5 linked regions of the Cricetulus griseus genome follow. The protein of the gene in region 3 purifies or fractionates together with the protein of the main gene of each other region. This does not show direct contact. Links are inferred from orthologs where the notes say so. Each region holds a gene or a part of one and is shown on either strand. Other genes may lie near its edges. The genes, in order: Jup, Ctnnd1, Cdh2, Ctnna1 and Ctnnb1.

The links.
Region 1: the proteins of Cdh2 (region 3) and Jup purify together in Homo sapiens (co-immunoprecipitation; 4 studies listed by BioGRID and IntAct, with this or other methods). This does not show direct contact. The link is inferred for Cricetulus griseus from reciprocal best matches to the Homo sapiens genes CDH2 and JUP.
Region 2: the proteins of Cdh2 (region 3) and Ctnnd1 purify together in Homo sapiens (affinity purification with western blotting; 6 studies listed by BioGRID and IntAct, with this or other methods). This does not show direct contact. The link is inferred for Cricetulus griseus from reciprocal best matches to the Homo sapiens genes CDH2 and CTNND1.
Region 4: the proteins of Cdh2 (region 3) and Ctnna1 purify together in Homo sapiens (affinity purification with mass spectrometry; 4 studies listed by BioGRID and IntAct, with this or other methods). This does not show direct contact. The link is inferred for Cricetulus griseus from reciprocal best matches to the Homo sapiens genes CDH2 and CTNNA1.
Region 5: the proteins of Cdh2 (region 3) and Ctnnb1 purify together in Homo sapiens (affinity purification with western blotting; 18 studies listed by BioGRID and IntAct, with this or other methods). This does not show direct contact. The link is inferred for Cricetulus griseus from reciprocal best matches to the Homo sapiens genes CDH2 and CTNNB1.

What each region holds. Positions count from the first base shown.
Region 1 is NC_048600.1:113,441,789-113,445,303, forward strand, and holds part of Jup (junction plakoglobin), read right to left. Parts: intron 2,546-3,515; coding exon 2,286-2,545; intron 2,095-2,285; coding exon 1,856-2,094; intron 1-1,855. UniProt on the Homo sapiens protein: Common junctional plaque protein. The membrane-associated plaques are architectural elements in an important strategic position to influence the arrangement and function of both the cytoskeleton and the cells within the tissue.
Region 2 is NC_048599.1:90,880,172-90,884,154, reverse strand, and holds the start of Ctnnd1 (catenin delta-1), read right to left. Parts: upstream 2,816-3,983; 5' UTR 2,509-2,815; intron 1-2,508. UniProt on the Homo sapiens protein: Key regulator of cell-cell adhesion that associates with and regulates the cell adhesion properties of both C-, E- and N-cadherins, being critical for their surface stability.
Region 3 is NC_048595.1:219,837,257-219,840,771, reverse strand, and holds part of Cdh2 (cadherin-2), read right to left. Parts: intron 2,292-3,515; coding exon 2,058-2,291; intron 1,753-2,057; coding exon 1,519-1,752; intron 1-1,518. UniProt on the Homo sapiens protein: Calcium-dependent cell adhesion protein; preferentially mediates homotypic cell-cell adhesion by dimerization with a CDH2 chain from another cell. Cadherins may thus contribute to the sorting of heterogeneous cell types.
Region 4 is NC_048595.1:202,375,348-202,379,550, forward strand, and holds the start of Ctnna1 (catenin alpha-1), read right to left. Parts: upstream 2,808-4,203; 5' UTR 2,659-2,807; intron 1-2,658. UniProt on the Homo sapiens protein: Associates with the cytoplasmic domain of a variety of cadherins. The association of catenins to cadherins produces a complex which is linked to the actin filament network, and which seems to be of primary importance for cadherins cell-adhesion properties.
Region 5 is NC_048597.1:228,008,193-228,011,707, forward strand, and holds part of Ctnnb1 (catenin beta-1), read left to right. Parts: intron 1-726; 5' UTR 727-780; coding exon 781-793; intron 794-1,139; coding exon 1,140-1,367; intron 1,368-1,527; coding exon 1,528-1,781; intron 1,782-1,898; coding exon 1,899-2,137; intron 2,138-2,227; coding exon 2,228-2,429; intron 2,430-3,515. UniProt on the Homo sapiens protein: Key downstream component of the canonical Wnt signaling pathway.

The sequences.
Region 1 (3,515 bases), on a different chromosome or scaffold from region 3:
TGTCATTCTTTTTTTTTTTTTGTTCTTTGTACATATATTTAGTACAGATTATTAGGGATTTAAGGAATATGTACAATTTTACACCATGGACTGCATTTTCTTAATGCATTACAGAAACAAAAATAAAATGTCACCAATGACACAGAATACTATACTGTAGATACACCACAACAGTCCAGATTTAAGAAGAAACATCAATATAATTATGAAAAGGCTAGCTTACTTAAACTAGTCAAACTTGACTTTGTTAAATTTATGTTATATAGACAGGTAAATTTTGATGACATATTTTAAACAAAGAATCTTGGAAAACATCTTCACACCAATGAGTGAAATGGTATATTTTGCCCTCCCCAAGAAAACAAAGTCTTGTGCAAGCTAATGAAGATACACATACACCTACACACACACACACACCCCAACACACCACACACACACAGACACAGACACACACACAGACACACAGTATGAACAGTATGTTTTCAACAGTATAATAAACAGTTAAAATTTTTATGGGAGTTAAAACAATGCCCCGTTATTTAAAAACTGGCTCATTTAGTCTAAATTCAAGATGCAGCTTTGTCAGGTTTCTCTGAACCAGATGATCGAAAAGCAGGGAAGACAGAGGCAGGATTTTGACTAGCAGATACAACAACTTGAGGAAGAGATGGAGACAATGAGGATACCTTAGATGCTGGAGTATTTATGGTATTTAAAATGGCTCCTTCTGGGATAACCAGTAACTTTTTTGACAGAGGTATCTAAATGAAATACCCTAAAGTGTCATTCTTTCTTGAGCACAGCCCCTCTTTTTAATTTGTGTGTGTGTGTGTGTGTGTGTGTGTGTGTGTGTGTGTGTGTGTGTGTGTAGGTCAGAAGACAACCTCAGGTGTCATCCTCAGGAACACAATCCCCCTCCTCAGATACAGGGTCTCTAACTGGCCCAAGCTCCTTAGGCTAAACTGGCTGGCCAGCAAGCTCCAGGGCTTCCTCCAGTCTCTGCTTCCCCAGGGCAGGGGCTGCAAATGCCCTCTACTGCATCCAGCATTTTTACATGGGTGCTGGAGATTGAACCTGGGTCCTCATGCTTGAGAGGTAAACTCCTCATTGACTGAGCCATCAGCTCCTCCCCACCCAGTGTCTCTACTCCCCTCAAGATCCAGTCCCACTCTTTCTTTCTTTCTTCCTTTTTTTTTTTTTAAGACGGGTTTTCAGTTTGCACTATGCACTATGCAGCCCTGGCTAGCCTAGAACTCTCTGTATAGACCAGGTTGGCTTGGAATACATAGAGATCTCTACCTCTTGAGGACTGGGATCAAAGGTGAGCACCACCATGGCCAGCCGAGCGCAGTCCTAATGACATCAGCACACAGCGCATCTTCACTCCCGCCTCTGAGGTCCTGCACGTCCTAATTATATACCAGGTCCCTGAACAGCTGAGTCACTACTGTGTGTAAGGTCACATAGCAGAGGCCCCGTGACAGCTACAGAGGGGAGTGAAATTCCCCTCAAAGAACTCCCACTCATCTCAGCCGGGAAAGAGGAGAAAAAAATCGCATGGTCGGGTGGGGCTCAGACATGCTCTTCTCTTGCTAGGATAGCCTCTCCTTGATCAAGGCTGACCAAATCCACCCATCTGTCAAAGCCCTGCCCTCAGTACGAGTCTGCCTCTGGGCAATCTCAACCATTCTGTTGCTACAACTTACAGATCCTAACAGTCAGCCTGTTGTTTACGTTACTGTCTCTGGGTTGGGCTATGAGCAGCTGAGAGCCAGGATGGGTGTGGTGCTTCACATGTGTGTATAAAAGGATGCTGGGAGGCCCCTGACGCCTGTGCAACAGAGGAGCAAGTTACCTGAGCATTCGGACTAGCGCAGGGATGCCTCCAGACTTGAAGATAGCGAGCAACCCCTCCCGGTGGTGGGAGAGGTTGTGCAGGATACTCGTGGTGCAACGGGCTGTATCCAGGTCACTGGTGTTCTGCATGGTGCGCACCACAGCCGCCACCAGCTGGGGCGAGCCCATTAGGGCCCGGCGGGATGCCTCCTTCTTGGACAGCTGGTTCACAATCATAGCCGCCTTGGTCACCACTACCTAAAGGAAGTATGAGACCTTGAGCATACAGTCCAGGCAACTCCTCCACAGAGGGAAGGAAGGCAAAGGACAGGACATCCTTCCACAGAGCTTAGATGAGCCAGACACTTTGTGGGGAGCCAGCCTCATGGCTTCCTTCCCTCTGGGGACAGCTAACTTTATCCCACCCCACCTCCAGGCCCTTCACAGACCGGGTCCTCATCGTTGAGCAGCTTGGTGAGCTCAGGCAGGGCCCGGGTGGCCAACTCTGCGTCATCTTGGTAGTTGATGAGATGTACAATGGCCGACTTGAGCAACTGGGATGGCTCTGCCAGCCGCTGCAGGTTGGTGGTCTGCCCCTCCACCTGGGTGGCCAGCAGTAGAGAACTGTCCTCGCCTGACACACCTGGACACATGGCCTCCCGCACCCGCTTGGCTCTGGCCGTCGTGGACATCTGGTACTCCAGGTCACCTGGAAGACAAATGACACAAGGACTGAGCTACAGGAGATTTAGAGGGACCCTGAAGAGCAAGGTAAGCCACACAGACACGGCTCCAAGCTGCCTCGTGCTCCATCAAAGTATAGGGCATCACTCAGGACTCTATACCTAACAAGGTTCTGGGAAATCATCTTTGCCATTGCTTTTATTTATAGCATGAGGCCCATCTAGCCCACCCAGCACAGGGAACTCTATGACAACTAAGATCACAGCCATGACTTGCTTTGAAAAGACTCTTGTCTGACAACTATCATTACAAAAAATGTCTACAGCAATATGTTGTTATATATGTAGTACTGCATATTGTTCTGCAGTACAGTTCTGGGGAGTAAAAGTAGGGCCTCACATTTGCTCAGCAAGCATCTAACCACTGAGCTATATTCCCAGTCTTAAAAAAAAAAAAAAAATTGGGGGCCGGAGAAATGGTTGTGCAGTTAAGAGCACTTACTGCTCTTGCAGAGGACCAAGGTTCCATTCCCAGCACCTACATGGTGGCTCAAAGCCATAGCTTACTGGAGTTCCAGGAGGTTTGGGCTTCTCCCTTCTGGCCAGCATAAGTACTGCACCCATTTGGTGTATATACATACATACATACATACATACATACATACATACATACATGCAAATACACACACACTTAAAAAATTAAAAATGTTTTGTTTCCCAAGCTGACTTTGAACTTACTTTGTACTTGTAATCCTGCCTCAAGTCTACCAAGTACATGGGGGACATCATATACCCTTGCTATCATGGCCAGCTCAGCAATAATTATTAACAGCTATAGCTGAAAATGTAGCTCAGTTGGTAGAATGCTTGCCTAACAAGGTTCCACTCTCAACAATGAATAAAATGAGGCTTGGTGGGACACTTATGTAATTAATTAAAGCACTTCATAAGTGGCAGCAAGAGGAGTTCAAGGTCATCCTTGGCTACACAATGAGT
Region 2 (3,983 bases), on a different chromosome or scaffold from region 3:
GAGGGAGGGAGGGTCAGGGACAGGAGGACCTATAAGGTATTAACAGAGGGTGACCATAATAGAAAACTAGAAATTGTACAAAGCTAAATATTTTGCTAGTGCAATTGATAGTGACCCAACTAAATTTATTTGCCTGCATCCCGCCTCATCCATCCTTAAGAAGCCAACTATTTGATAAACCTAAGGCTGGGATGTAATTACATGAAGCTTTCCTTTTCTTTCTTTCTTTTTTTTTTTTTTAATAAATCTCCAAGAGTCCCAATTTTAGACCAACACAGAACATGTTCTGACCCCTCTGGCTGTTCATACTGCAATCCTAAGAAAGGCACTGGAACTATAACCAGCCATGAGACGCCTCACACACACACCTGAAACAGACCACTACCTCACTCACATAACAAAGAAACTAAGCAAATTATATACAAAGCAAACAAGGAAAGAAAATCTGTACTATTCATACTCATCTGTCATCATTTTCACCCCAAAATCAAAATACAAAGCACAGCAAATAGTAATAATAGCAAAATAGAAGATTACTTATCTGTACCCTTTCCTATAATTCCTCAAAGAACCAGCAGAGGTGAAGTAAAAGATAAAAATCTTCCATCTTATCACCTCAAAAGGCTCTATATTAATTACACCGAAGGCCAAACAATGCTTTAATTTGTAAAAATAGTCCTGGCTTCTAATGCTGTTGAACCTAGCTACACAAAGCCCAGTTTCAAAGCCGGACCCAGATCACCACCAGTCATCCAGAACCTATTTTCAAACTGCCTTTGTACTCCTCCTTCAGACTCTCATCCCTCCCCCTAAAGGTTGAGCGAGAAACCGACACTCTGGCAGCAACAGACCAACCCTCCAAAGACCCCACCAAGAAACCTCCCGAGAAAAGCATTTCAAAGGAAAACTAAAGAACTGGAAATGAGAAATACGGTCCAACTGACTGTACACATTGTCTTCTTTCTTTCTTTTCAACTACTTCTTTTAATTCTGAAGTCTAGATGTCAAATCTTTTCCTGTAACCCTCACCTAAACTATATGAAAAGGGGAACAAAAGTTGTTTCCTCCATAAGCCACAAACCTCACAAGGACAAAATCATCTTGCAAGGAATGTCTTCACTGTAGAAAAAAATCAAGGAAGTATTCCAGTCTAAAAAGAATGGGGGCAGGGACTATGAAATCAGAAGATTCGTATCAATTTAAAGGTAATGAGCAGCTTACACATTAAGACTCATCTTGCTACAATTAGAGCAATATCTATACCAGCCCAAATTTCCATACTGAATCCCATTTTAAAAGAATACCATATTTTGCAGCTACTGATGAGTAGGCTATATAATTATCTGGGATCAGCACATTTGCAAGAACGTATGTACAAAAAGCAAAACCAAACAAATCTTAAGGCCAATTATAAAACATGAAGCAGTCATAGGCCTTTATCTCTAACAGATTCTAACTTAATGGTAAGTTAACCAACCAAACAAACAAAAGACAACTGTAAAAATCACCTTTCCACTGGCTTAGAAATAAAATTCCCTTTGTGCTTTCTCAAATGGGTTTGCAAACTCAAGTTTTCATTAAGTGGTTCCCTTTCGTCTGATCATTCACAACCTACAGCCCTTTTGGAAACCAAGAGGGCTGAAAAGACTCTCAGGTGTTCTGCCGCTTTCCTCTGGTCAACAGAAAGCATGGTTAGAATTCCTTACCCCTTAAAGCACCAACATTATCATATTTGCAGGTCTAACACACGACACCTTCACAAATCTCTGCCATCAAAAGTATTTTTAGGCTTAAAAACAAAAAAAGTGGTGGCAATTCAGTTAACATAGATCCATTTGTTTTTCAAGGCAAAGCAAAGGGGTTCCTACTAACAGGCTAGGCTCCCTCCCACCCACCTCACCTGGAAAAGTAAGGGATCCACCCAGGAAGAGCAGAGCTGAAAAGCATCTGGGCCGTTCGAACTCAGGAGGAAAAAAACAATGAATACTATTTAAGCTCTAAAGCTCCCTGCAACTTTCTACTGCCACAGATTCAAAGGTGAGGGGGCTGAAAGTTTTGAAACATGGTAAGAGCCATCTATACAACTTTCTCCTGACCAGGACAAATTCCTTTCCCAACCCACACACAACATGCCAAGAAAACAACTTTTTGAGCTCTGAAAACAGAAGTATGTTAGCTTAATTCAGAAAAATAAAATAAAATGAAATAAAAGTACACACAAAAATGTAATTTACACAACTTCTACCTCCCGGTTCTAAACCAGCTTCCGGTATTAGGTCCAGTACATTTACCTTTTCCTTAACATAAATAAAATACCAAAATACATCCAAAGCATTAAAAGTAGAAAAAATAACTGGCTAAAATTCACCGTCAGCTTTAACAGGCTCTCTTGCCTTTTTTTAAATTCCCTCCAGTTACCATTAAGACAAAAATTCTACTTGGGTTATCCTTTTCCCAACTAGTTATACACACATTTTTATAAAAGGAAAAAATGAAAAGAACACACACCTCAAATGTGGACTTCTAAAGCCAATCCTTTAAGACACAAACCCAAAGCTTCACCGGTGTGCTGTGAAAGACAATCCAGCGAGGTTCAGGCCACCTCTTCCTCTTCCTCTTTCAGGATCTTTCCTGCCTCTTTCCCTCTCCCTCCGTGTCTGTCTCTGTCTCCCTCCCGTCCTCCTGTTCTCTCTCTCTCTCTCTCTCTCTCTCTCTCTCTCTCTCTCTCTCTCTCTCTCTCTTTCCCCTCAGATCCAACACCTAAAATGGAAGTTGCACCCAGCCAAAGGCAAGGGAGCCTGGGTGGTGACAAACTGATCTGGCAGCCCTACCCTAGCTTTCCTAAGTGATGTCAGCCCCTGCGAGCTTCCAATAGGAGCCAGGCATAAATCAGGGAGCTGACCTTATCCAATAGGAAACTTTATTATAGGAAATTAAAAAAAAGAGAGAGAGAAAGACAAGGAAGTTTTAAATATATGTATTATATATATATTTATATTTAAAGCGGAGACTATACAATCTCCAAGGAATTACTGCAGAGCTCAGGGGGAGGTGGGAGGTGCTAGATAACAAAGCTTTTTTAGAACGGCACGCCTAAGCCTCAGTTCTCTTTGATGAGGGTCTTGCTCCCTTCCCCTACCTATCAGGGTGGGTAAACGGAAAAGAGCTTACTTTATTTGCCTGCTGCTGTTTGGTTTCTTGCTTTCTTCCCCAAAGCATTTCCCAATGGAAGCCAGGAAGGAAGGAGAGAGAAATCCCAGAAACAGGACTGTTGATTGGGATGGTAGGAAATATCTCAGGCAAACTCTCAATTTCATTGTTTTGATTTAATTGCATTAGCGTTTATGAGGAAAAATAAATGCTTAGGCTTGTTGCTAGCTTGTTAGCCTCTCTGCTTTAAACTAAAAGGAAGCAGAATCCACAGAGCTGTTGAGGAAAACCACTGTCTTTCCATAAAAGAAATGTGGGTTTGCCTGGTACAATAGACAGAATCTAGTAAACAAAAAGTTTAGAATAGATAAGAATATAGTTAAAATAATTAAGGGAATGCTATTTGTGAACTCAAAATTACCTGGCATTTTTATTTGACCTAAATAAAACATACAGGAATTTTCCTCTAGATTTGTTTAAGATTTAGGAGGGGAAGGGGTTTTGCTTATTGTTGCTTTGTTTTGTTTGAGACAAGGTCTCACTGGACCACTGGCTGGCCTCAAACTTAAAATCCCTCAGCCTCTGCCTTCTCAGTGATGGGAATGCTGGCATATTACCACTTGGTAAGACTAGTATCAGTTACTTACTAATTACTAAACAAAGATAATGAATTGGAAGGTTTCTCTTTATATTTTCTAAATTAAATGTGTGTATCTGTGTTTAAATATGTGCATAGGCATACATGTACTACAGCACTCATGTTCAGGTCTGAGAACAATTTACAGGAATCCCTTCTCTCCTTCTTCTGTATGGGTCCAGGGGATCAAACCTAG
Region 3 (3,515 bases):
CATTCATCATTATACTCCCAAATTCCCAGAGAAAGGCACTTCTCCTGGGAACAAGTGTTTGTTTAGATGGCTAGGGCAGGAAATGAGGGTTGGGTATGTAATTGGATTCTGGGTTGTTTTTTGACTTGTAGGGGCTGGTGTTTCTCTGTCATGCTATTCTGCATTTTCATCCCCACCCCACTGCAGCTATGAAGGCATGGGGATTGGTTTGAGCACTGAAATAATATTAGGCTTTCATCCTTCACACTCAATGCCAGGTCTGAAACCATAAATTCTCCCAAGTTGATGTTAAAATCAGTGCCAATTCATTTTCCTTCAAAATGCTAGTGTCACTTTGTCATGGCTGAATCTATCATCCCTATGTTTGTCTCGATAAGGCTGGCGTGGTTGAGAGTGAACACCCCCTCCCCCTTCCTGAACACAGATCTAGGAATAAATTCTGTCTAAAATCTGAGCATATCAGTTTTCATCCTGAAACAAAAAGATTTAATGACTCCTATTTGAGCACATTTTTATTATTGGCCATAAAAGTAAATATCCTCCCTTTAAAGCCAGATACATGATCTCATTTGCCATTGTTCAGGGCTAAATCTAGCAAGTGGATTATTAGTATAGCATGCAGGTTTCAAATTATAGCCAAAGCAGTCTCCACACAGGAAGTAAAAAATGCTCAGGCTTCTATAGTAATTGCTTAGAAAAAAAAGGGATGGAATTCTAAATTACCAGAACACTTGTAAATGGAGAAAACATAAAGGAAATGGCCAACATTTTCAAGAAAGTGATTGGTGCATAGCGTGATCACACAATAAACTGAGTCCTGCTGCTATTCTACAATAAAATACTGGGCCCAGGCAATTTATTCTTTTAACCTGAATGCTTAGAAGTGATTCTTAAAGTACTTTCCGGTGGTTAATTTCTTGCATTCCACTGAACCAAAGAATGCAAAGTGTCTTAAAAAGAAGAAATTCCTTAATCTACACTTATGCTAAAGACAGACGATTTACGGAGCTATGTAATCATTTCTACTATCAAATGCCCTGTGTGTGACGTATAATCTCACTATTTTGTGCAGCCCTTCAGAAACAAATACCTTGATCTTCCCATGACTGGAGCAGGTTTCTGACTGTACTTTATATGCAGGGAAGTGAAGGAAAGCAATACACCTATTTTGCTAAATCATCAATTATGTGCCATAATTCATACTCAAGTCAAGATAAGTTCTCCAAGCTAGGACTGCTTAACATTTCTCTGAGGAAAGGGCTTCCTGTGGCCTCCAGCAATCAGCACCAAAAAGTGATTGAGAAGGTGTGGGAACACAATCCTAGCAGCTTGCTGAAAACAAGTCAGCACTCTAAATGATGCTTGTTGCTTTTAGGCTAACGGGACTTTGTCTGCTTGCATTATATTGACGGCATGGTGCTCAGGAGTCCAATAGACTTGCTCAGTTATTTTGATGTGGTCCCTTCCTGAGCATCCTAGAAGTAGATGGCATCACAGCCTCCAGGACAAAGTACTCACTTAGCAGGATGATGATACAAAGCAGAATAGCAATGATGGCACCAGTGCCCAGCCCGGCACCTACAATCCTGTCCACATCTGTACAGTCTCCATTGGAGTCACACTGGCAAACCTTCACACGCAGGATGGAAATATTGGACTTGGGAGGATTCCCTGAATCTGTAATAATGATGGGAACTTCATAGATACCAGCTTCCAAAAATTTTATTTTTAAATTGAGTTGAGCAAAATCACCTATACAGAAAAGAGAGAAAAAGAAAACAAATTTGACAGTCAGTACCTAGTAAGATTTAAAGAAAAAACATCCACTACTTTTGAGAATGTATTTCATAACTGTACCCCATTAAACAATTCACAATTTTGCTGTATTGTGAAAATTGTTTTGTGTTTCAAGGTCTTTTAATATCTGATCTAAACCCTTAAATAGCACTTAAAATATATTTAATGAGAAGATTATGAAGTATGTAAAATTAATTTCCTATACCAGGGTTCCAAACTACTTAACTACACATCCGTTCAAGTAATGAACCTGTTCTTACCATTAAGTCGGGTGATGGTCCAGTTTCTTTTAATAGTCACTGGAGATAAAGGAAGATCAAAAGCAAATGGCCCAGCATTTGGATCAATGTCATAATCAAGTGCTGTGATGTTAATTGAATTGGGTTCTGGAGTTTCACAAGTCTCAGCCTCTTGAGGTAACACCTGAGGGGCGTTGTCATTGATATCAAGTAAATAGATTTGCAGTGTTCCCGTTCCACTCATAGGAGGAATTCCTAAAAGGAGAGAAAAGTCATAGTTTAGGGCAACAATGTCTCAGCCGAGGCTCAATTCTTATGTTTTTGAAGTCTCTTGTCCCTATCACTGTATCATATGGGAAAATGCTCACTGTCACAGGAGCTGAATGGGTAGGCTTTGGAACAAGCTCGATTCTTATTTCTCTGCTAGGATTACGCTGAACTGTTGGTGCAGCTATTCAAGCTGAGCATGGAGCTCAAGCCTTCCCTTCTCTAGCTGTCCATCACTCTGGGCTCATGAACACTGGACTCCTCCAGAACACTGAGGAATGCCAGAGGAGCAGGGGGGCTCCTGAGATTATGGACCCCAGCCTCTTGGTGGAGATCCAGGACATGTATGATTGGAGGAGAGTTCCAAAAGCTCAGAACAGCTGTAATAATGACAACTATTTACAGGCAGCTGAGAGAAGACTTGGTCTTGGGAACATATACTCAGTCAACCACACACAAGAAAGGACTGGGGCTGCTCGTTATACACTAATGCATGGTATTACTATGCAGGAGTTTTAAACAGGGGAGAGACCTCAGTCTCTGCAAACTGCTCATGGCATACTTTAGAGTATACAAAACTGTGTACACCAGCTCTGCCTGACTGCAAACCTGTTCTTATTGACCCTGTAATGCTATCTCTCCTAGCACATGTGATTTCTTAGTCTGGCTTCTGCAGTATTATAATATCCACATATATCTAAGAAGTTTTATATGTGTGCATTTATATACCTATTATTTTTATTTATATGTGTTTTATAAAGTTTCATACACTGACTCCCAGAAATATGGCTGAAGGTCATGGAACTTAGGAAGGTGTACATATCCACAGTCCTGAGAAGGCAGTGGACAAAGAATATAAGAAACACAACAGATCAGAGGAGAGAAGCACTGATGGGAATAGTGTTTTACTCTCCTTATGCTATCATCAACACTAGTTGCTTGATCGCTTGAGTAATGTTTACATGTACTATTGCTTTAAGATAACTTAACAAAGCAGGTGACAGTGAAGCCATTTATAATAAGGAAACTAAGGCCCAGCCAAGTTCTCTCTTCTGCCTTGTGATTAGTAAGGTTCACCTGTGTGGCTTCACAGTGCCAGACAGCTCAGTTCTCTCATTGCAAATACTCTTCCAATTAGAAGCTATACACCTCGTTAAGTGAGAAGCCTGGTTGTGCCTCAAAACCAACAAGCATCATGTTACTTTATGAATC
Region 4 (4,203 bases), about 17 Mb from region 3:
GCAGTCTGAGCACTGGTGGAGGTGAGAACTCTCTAGGGGCAGGCTGCTCTGCTGCTGTGATCTTTCAGCTTTCAGCCTGATAGCTGACTGCTAGAATTCGTGCTACACTAGATCTTGAGACATAACTGAGAGTTCAATGCTTAAAAAAAAAACTTTATCAAGAGGCCTACACCCCATCACCAAACCAATCTTTACCCCCTTTTCCAAAATACAACTCCATTCATCCTGATCACCTTTATCCACATTACCTTCCTCAGTCAACTCCCTGCTTTTAGACACGAAAGAATTCAAATCTCTGAGCACCAACAAAAAATAAAAAGCTGCTCAGATCATGGAAGGCCCTAGAATGGCTTCTTACAGCTTTAGAATAAAATCTACACACAGCCATCTGTGACCTGGCCTTTGCCTTCCCTGACCACCTTATTAAACCTCCCTATTTCAGTACTCATAATACAAAGATCATCTCTACACCTCTAGTCCTCCAAATACTGTGCCAATGCTCAGGCTATATACATCTGTTAAGGACCCTATTCCTTTATTCTGGTCTAGGTTTTAGCCAGTACACTTAACTATCACCACCTTCAACAAGCAGGGCTATCTGTGCTGTCAGTAATGTGACTTTAAAAGAATTCAAGACCATTCGTACCAGTTACTCTGGCTCTCCACATCTGGTTGAGATCTCCAAAACAGAATTAAGTCTCACATCAGATATGGTTTGAGAAGCCGTGGGATATACAAGGAGACCCATGTGGCTCAAGAGAGACACCTAAACCCAAAAAAAGGAGCGGGACGTTAGCAGCTAAGGTTGATGGCAGAGGTAAGGGGGGTTGTACAGCTCATGGTACATTATTTGACTAGCATATACAAGGCTCTAGGTTTGTTTCCCCAACACCACAGAGGGCAGAAAGGGGGGTTGATGAGAGAAGGCACAAGGCAGTGATTCTCAACTAGGAAAAAAGACACCCCTCATCTCTAACCAATATATAAAATGTTTCTGATGGGAATGGAGGTGGTACTATATAACTGGTGCTGAAAACCAATGTTCTCAGGATAGATTACATGCAGGAAAGGGAGGGAGTGAAAACTAAAGAAAAAAAAAAACAAAAAACAGAACATCAGATTCCCCACACTTACATGCCCTTTTATGCCTTTCCCCTACTTTCTCCTGCCACGTGACTTCAACTCGTGCTTCACCCAATTCAAAAGCCACCACCTTCCAGGACTCCCAGACTTATAAACGTATTAACACTCCAAGCATCTGTGAATTTCTGTTGTTTGCATTATACACAAATTTGACCCAGACAGGTGTTACGTATGGAACACGTCTGAATCCCAACAATCAAGAAGCTTAAGCTAGCGTGGATTTCATAGTGAGAGCCAGTCTGAGGGGAAAAAAAAAAAAAAGGATACGACACTAGAGAAACTTCTGATCCTCAAACAAAGAGTAATTTTAAAACCTATTTTCTGACTTAGTTGAATCAGGACGTATAAACAATTGAGCAGAGGCTACGAATGATTTCCCCGCTCAATCCTTTTGTAAACTAAAACAAACTCCGTTTCTTAAAGTAACAACCACCTGTAGTCTTTAAGAATCAGTTAAACACAAAATATCCTTTTCAAAAACACCTATCATAAAGATACAATACACATACACAATACAGTGATGTATGCATGAGTTTACATTATAAATTATTGTGCATTCTATACAAAACACACAAAAAATGTTATGAAGACGAAGAACTTAAGAGGGTATCAACCGTCAATTTGAGCCAACTGCTAACTGAATTACTGGGATGGCCACTGCTTGCAATCCAAGGCTACCCATCCAGTCAACATTTTTCCTCCAAGTTCTACACACATTAACAAGTTCCTTTTAAAGGAAGGCGGGGCATTGACATCGCAGGCTTGCAATGTCCGCCCTCGGGAAGCTAAGGCAGGGAGCCCGAGTGTTCCAGGCCATCCTGGGCTACTTAGCAAGACCAGCCCTCGGTAGCACAAGGTCAGTAACAAGACCCTAACGCCACTCCTGAAAACTGGGTGTAAAGTCAGTCCAGTCAGGCAGAGAACGCGGATGAGTAATTTTAAAGTAAAGATTAACAACTTCTTGCCACAGGTTCACACGGGTGTGGCGCACCTTAAAGGACAAGAGCCCTGGAGAGCAGGAAGCTACGGCTCTCACACTCCGTGGGTCGGACTGGAATGCCAGCTCCCCCGACCTCTGGCCCCCGCAAACGCCCAACTTTCAGCGAGGGGGAGAAAGGGGGGAGGGGCGCGGCCGGCACAAATCCAGGGAACAATCGCGACCCTTAAAACACCCCACCGCCGGAACGCCAGAGACACTCCGAGGTCGCCTCTCAGCGGGGGAGGCGGCCCGAGGCGCGACGCCCGTCCCGCGAGCGCGCGCCCTGCTCGGGGAACAAAGTTTAGAAAGAGGGAGAAAGTTTTCCGAGAAGGCGCCGCGGCGGTAGCTCCGCTTCCCGAGCGTCGGGCTCCGCCCGCCCAGGCCCAGGCTGCTCCGGGAAGCCGCCCTGGCCCGACGCTCCCCAGGGCGGAGGCCGCCCAGAGCCTGCCTGCGCCGTCACCCGGACCCCGGCCAGCGGAGACCCTCGGCCCACCAGGGGCCCCGCGCGCGCCCCGAGGGGAGGCACAAAGATTTACCTGCGGCGAGCGAGGAGAACGCAGGACGACTCCTGAGGCGCCAAGCCGACGGCCGCCGCTTTGTCTCCCGCCCGTCCGGCTCCCAGGAGGAAATGGGCCGCCCTGCGCTCCCGCCCCCGGCCCGCCCCGCGCCGCGCCCGCCCGCCCTTCCCGGCACCTCCCTCCGCGCGCTCTTCCCAGCGCCTCCCGCGGCCTCCACACCGCTCGTCCCGGCCTGCGGCGGCGGGCGCTTTCGGGGAAGAGCCTCCCTCCGGGATGGTAGCCTGGCAACTCCAGGCTGGGACCCCCAGAAGTCCCTTTCGTTCGGCCTCGGGGCGCGCACAGCCTGACCCCCGACGGGAAGGAGGGGCGGCGACTCACGGAACAGCCCGCAGCCGGGGAAGGCGGGCGGAGGGCAGGTGAGTCACCGCTCCCAACTCAGGTGAGTCTCGGGGCGCGGCCCCGGAAGGCCCCGCCCCGTCCGACGTCCCGGGACCAGCGTGACGCCGCGGGGTCCTGCTGGTCTCACTCCTGTGGCGAATGTCATCTTGTCCCCTGGTCCAAGGCGCCCAGAAAAGGGGGCAGCCTACTCCTTGCTTTACCCGAAGAGAAACAACTCCAAGTAAACGTTCCACATCTCCCGGCACAGTGGAACGGGAATCCGATTCTCAGAACGGTTTTTTGTTTTGTTTTGTTTCGGGTTTTTTTTTTGTTTTTTGGTGTTTGTTTAGTTTTATTTTTGAGGTAGGTTCTCACGTAGGTCAAACTGGTCTTGAACTGGCTATGTCGGCAAGAATAAACTTTTTTTTTTTTTTGCATTTGGGCCGAGGGGCGGCACAAAGCTTGTGCTTGTGTACAAATCAGGATAATCTGTGGTTTTCTCTCACCATGTGGGTCCTGGGGATTGAACTCAGGTTGCAGGGCTGGGTGGCCAGTGCCAACTTGCCTTAAACTCTTGATTCTCCTGCTCACCTCCCAGCTGCTGAGATTATAGGCCTGCACCATTACACTTGGTTTGGGGCCTCTTAAAGAGTGGGCAGATGAGAGAGATGATCAGTGGGTAAAAATGTTTGCCCTCTACCAACAATGACGTACTAAGAGTATGAAGGCCACAGAGTTGACCTCTGACTTCCACCCTGGTGCAGGTGGCATATTCACCCACACAAAGTAATAAATTTTAATTCTAGGAAAAGTGGTTTGGAGATGCCTACTATGCCCTGGGTTCAGTCTTCAGCACTACAAACAAAAAAGGCCATTCTTGTCCAATTACATGCTTTTTGTTTCTAGTTTGGGGGTTTTGACTCTGGTGGTTTGAAAGATAGTGGCCCCCCAAAGAGCACTACTGGGTGTGGGTTCGTTGCCCCATTGGAGAGAATGTGTCACTGGGGGGGGGGGACTTTCAGGTCTCCTATATTCAACCTAACCCCAGGACACAGACTCCTTCCTGTTGCCTGCTGATCAAGATATAAGAACTCTCAGATCCTTCTGCCTGAATGCTGCCATGCTTCCCACCATGGACTAAACCTCTAGAAAGGTAATTGGAAATTGGATCTCCATTAAATGTTT
Region 5 (3,515 bases), on a different chromosome or scaffold from region 3:
TTTGTAAGGACACCTTGTGTTAGCTGTAGTGCAAGATGACCCTGCTTGGGACACACATTAATAATGGAAATCTGTTCATACAGTACCTAGAGACCACGAACCCCAAGCTTCCATCTGGTTCTTAGTGATTTGATATTTTTCTTCAATATTGTACAGTAAAACTAAAATGCAGACATTACTTAGACTAAAATTTACCTGTGAGAAATGTTACATTCTGTTGTTGATCCTAGGGGCAACTGCACCAGTTGCCATGGTGTGTACATCACTGCTTGAACTCATACAAATCTTTTGATAAATGTATTTCTATTTGTGCTTCAGACTTTGACTTGACAAGTAATTTTGCTTCTTAAATCGCCATTCTGATCAGTGTTATATCAGCAAAAACAACTGATTTGTTTTATAAAAATTTGGTGTTTTTTAAAAACTCCACTGTCTCCATGGCCAGCCCAGTCTGAGTGTCTTTAGCCTTCAGGAATTCACAGAGCAGTTGAAATTTGAATATTGTTCCTTTTGCTGGCTTTCATGGGAGAGCAAAGGAGTTGTTCTCTCTCAGCACCTGTGTGTCTGCTGAGACATGGCCTTCACTCAGAAGGTCAGTGATGGTGGAGCTGTGTTTCAGGGTCTGTGTTTTCAGTGTATCTCATGCTTTTGGTTTGTGTTGGTGGGACATATAACACATGTGGCAGGCATCTGCTTAAATTTTAATGAATTGATTTTTCTTTTCAGGATTATCTGAAGCTTAGTGTACAGCAGCTGTGACACCACACTCGTGCGTGGACGATGGCTACTCAAGGTCTGTGCCCCGGGGAGCTGCTTGTGGCTTCTGTATGCTGCCTTAGAGTCCCTGCTGCTCTCTTGCCCCTGCCGGCTTTGGTTTGCCAGCCTACCTGTTGCTGTTCTGCTTACTACTACCAGCTTGGTGAAATAATCAGCAAGCTACCCGTGGGAGTCTAGCTTGAGTGATTCTGGAACTTGAATGCCACTGGGTTGCCCCTGTTCTACCATGGAGCACACACTGGCTATCATTCTGATCTCCTTGGTTGCTGAAATACGTTTCTAAATGTATTTCAATGGGTCATTGTCATGGATATTTTATTCAGGTATCATTTTCAGTGCACTAAATTGTTTTGTTTTTACAGCTGATCTAATGGAGTTGGACATGGCCATGGAGCCGGACAGAAAAGCTGCTGTTAGTCACTGGCAGCAGCAGTCATACTTGGATTCTGGAATCCATTCTGGTGCCACCACCACAGCTCCTTCTCTGAGTGGCAAGGGCAACCCTGAGGAAGAAGATGTGGACACCTCCCAAGTCCTGTATGAGTGGGAGCAAGGTTTTTCCCAGTCCTTCACTCAAGAGCAAGTGGCGGGTAAAAAGCATTTGTGTGTTTAAAAGCTAGAGTTGGGTTTCTTAGCAAGGGTGTGTGGTGGCAGAGACACACAGGCACAAGTGAAAAGCAGAGGAAAGTCGGGTGCATTGTTACTTAGCACTTAGGACAGTGAAGTCTCACATGGATTTTCCTTTCCCAGATATTGACGGACAGTACGCCATGACTCGGGCTCAGAGGGTGCGAGCTGCCATGTTCCCTGAGACCCTAGATGAGGGTATGCAGATCCCGTCCACACAGTTTGACGCGGCTCATCCCACCAACGTCCAGCGCCTGGCTGAGCCATCCCAGATGCTGAAGCATGCCGTTGTTAATTTGATTAACTATCAGGATGACGCGGAACTTGCCACACGTGCAATTCCCGAGCTGACAAAACTGCTAAATGATGAGGACCAGGTAAGCAGTTACACAGCTTGCTTCCCGTTTACTTTGAGGGAAACTGAGAGGGTGACGATGGCTGTTCGATGTCAGTATTTGGAAACTAATGGTGCTTCTTCACCCCCTGTACTCTAGGTGGTAGTTAATAAAGCTGCTGTTATGGTTCATCAGCTTTCCAAAAAGGAAGCTTCCAGACATGCCATCATGCGCTCTCCTCAGATGGTGTCTGCTATTGTACGCACCATGCAGAACACAAATGATGTAGAAACAGCTCGTTGTACTGCTGGGACCTTACACAACCTTTCTCACCACCGTGAGGGCTTGCTGGCCATCTTTAAATCTGGAGGCATTCCTGCTCTGGTGAAAATGCTTGGGTAAGAAAGTGGTCGGTCACATAACCAGAAAGGTGGGAAGAAGAAGGGTGCCAGTATTGGCTTGACAAAGGTTCTTTTCTTTCTTCTCAGGTCACCAGTGGATTCTGTTCTGTTCTATGCCATCACGACGCTGCACAACCTCCTGCTACATCAGGAAGGAGCTAAAATGGCGGTGCGCCTAGCCGGTGGACTGCAAAAAATGGTTGCTTTGCTCAACAAAACAAACGTGAAATTCTTGGCTATTACAACAGACTGCCTGCAGATCTTAGCTTATGGCAATCAAGAGAGCAAGGTAAAGTCATGAAAGCTGTTAGCATGGGGCACAGAGGCTCCACAGGCTCCAGACTCACTGACCTGCCCTTTGTGTGCACCCTAGAGGAGCTGCACTCTGTCCTCTCAACATTGAGTGTCTGTGTGCACCGTGCTGTGCATCGCACTGAGTGGACACGAAAAGGCCTCCAGAGTCTTTACCCTTGAGATAATTGCCAATCTGACTAGAAGGAAGGGGTTCAGTACACAGAAGAAACATTGTTCTGAGGGCCTTGTGGAGATGCTTGAGAGGCAGTGAGGTGTTTATAGTAGGTGGAGGCAGGTGAGAGAGAGGAAGGCATGTAGGGAAGCCCTGAAGGGGAAGGAGGGTGGTGTGGGTGGGGCTTTCAGAGTATAGTGCTTGAGAAAGTTTTGGGGTAAGGCTGTAAACACATAGTCTGGGTAGACCTTGTGAGGCTTGTAGGGCATACCAAAGACCAGGTGATGTAACTTTGAGCATAGGTATGAAATAGATCTGCTTGTGGAAATGTTTTCTGCAGTGTTTTCAGAAGGTCAAGGGCAGAGGCTATGGGCTCTTAGTGCCCATTTTCAACTGGCAGTTCTGACAACTTTCACTACTACAGGCAAACATGGTTGCTTTTCATATTCTTTTTCTTTATGTTCCATTTGGGGAGATGGCCAGAGTTGGTGTTTTTTTTTTTTTTTTTTTTTTCCTCTAATGGTTTATTTCTTATTAGTTTACGTGCATTGATGTTTTGCCTGCATGTGTGTCTTGGTCGGGGGTGGTATGTCCGATACACTGGAACTGGACTTAAGAGACAGTTGGGGATGCTGGGAATTGATTGAGTCCGGGTTAGTAAGTAGTGCACAAGTAGTGCTCTTAACTACTGAGCCATCTCTCCAGCCCAAGTTGATGTATTCTTGAAAGTGTTGGCATGCCTGGACTTGAGCAGAATACTGTAGTATAGAAGTCACATACCTAGGACCCCCCAGTTTGAGACCTTGCGTCAGAGAGGTCCAGAGATACACTTTGATGTGACACAGTAACTTGCTGATGGGTTCCTCTCCAGCATTTCTGGAGTTGTATGACACTAGTTGTACGTCTTCC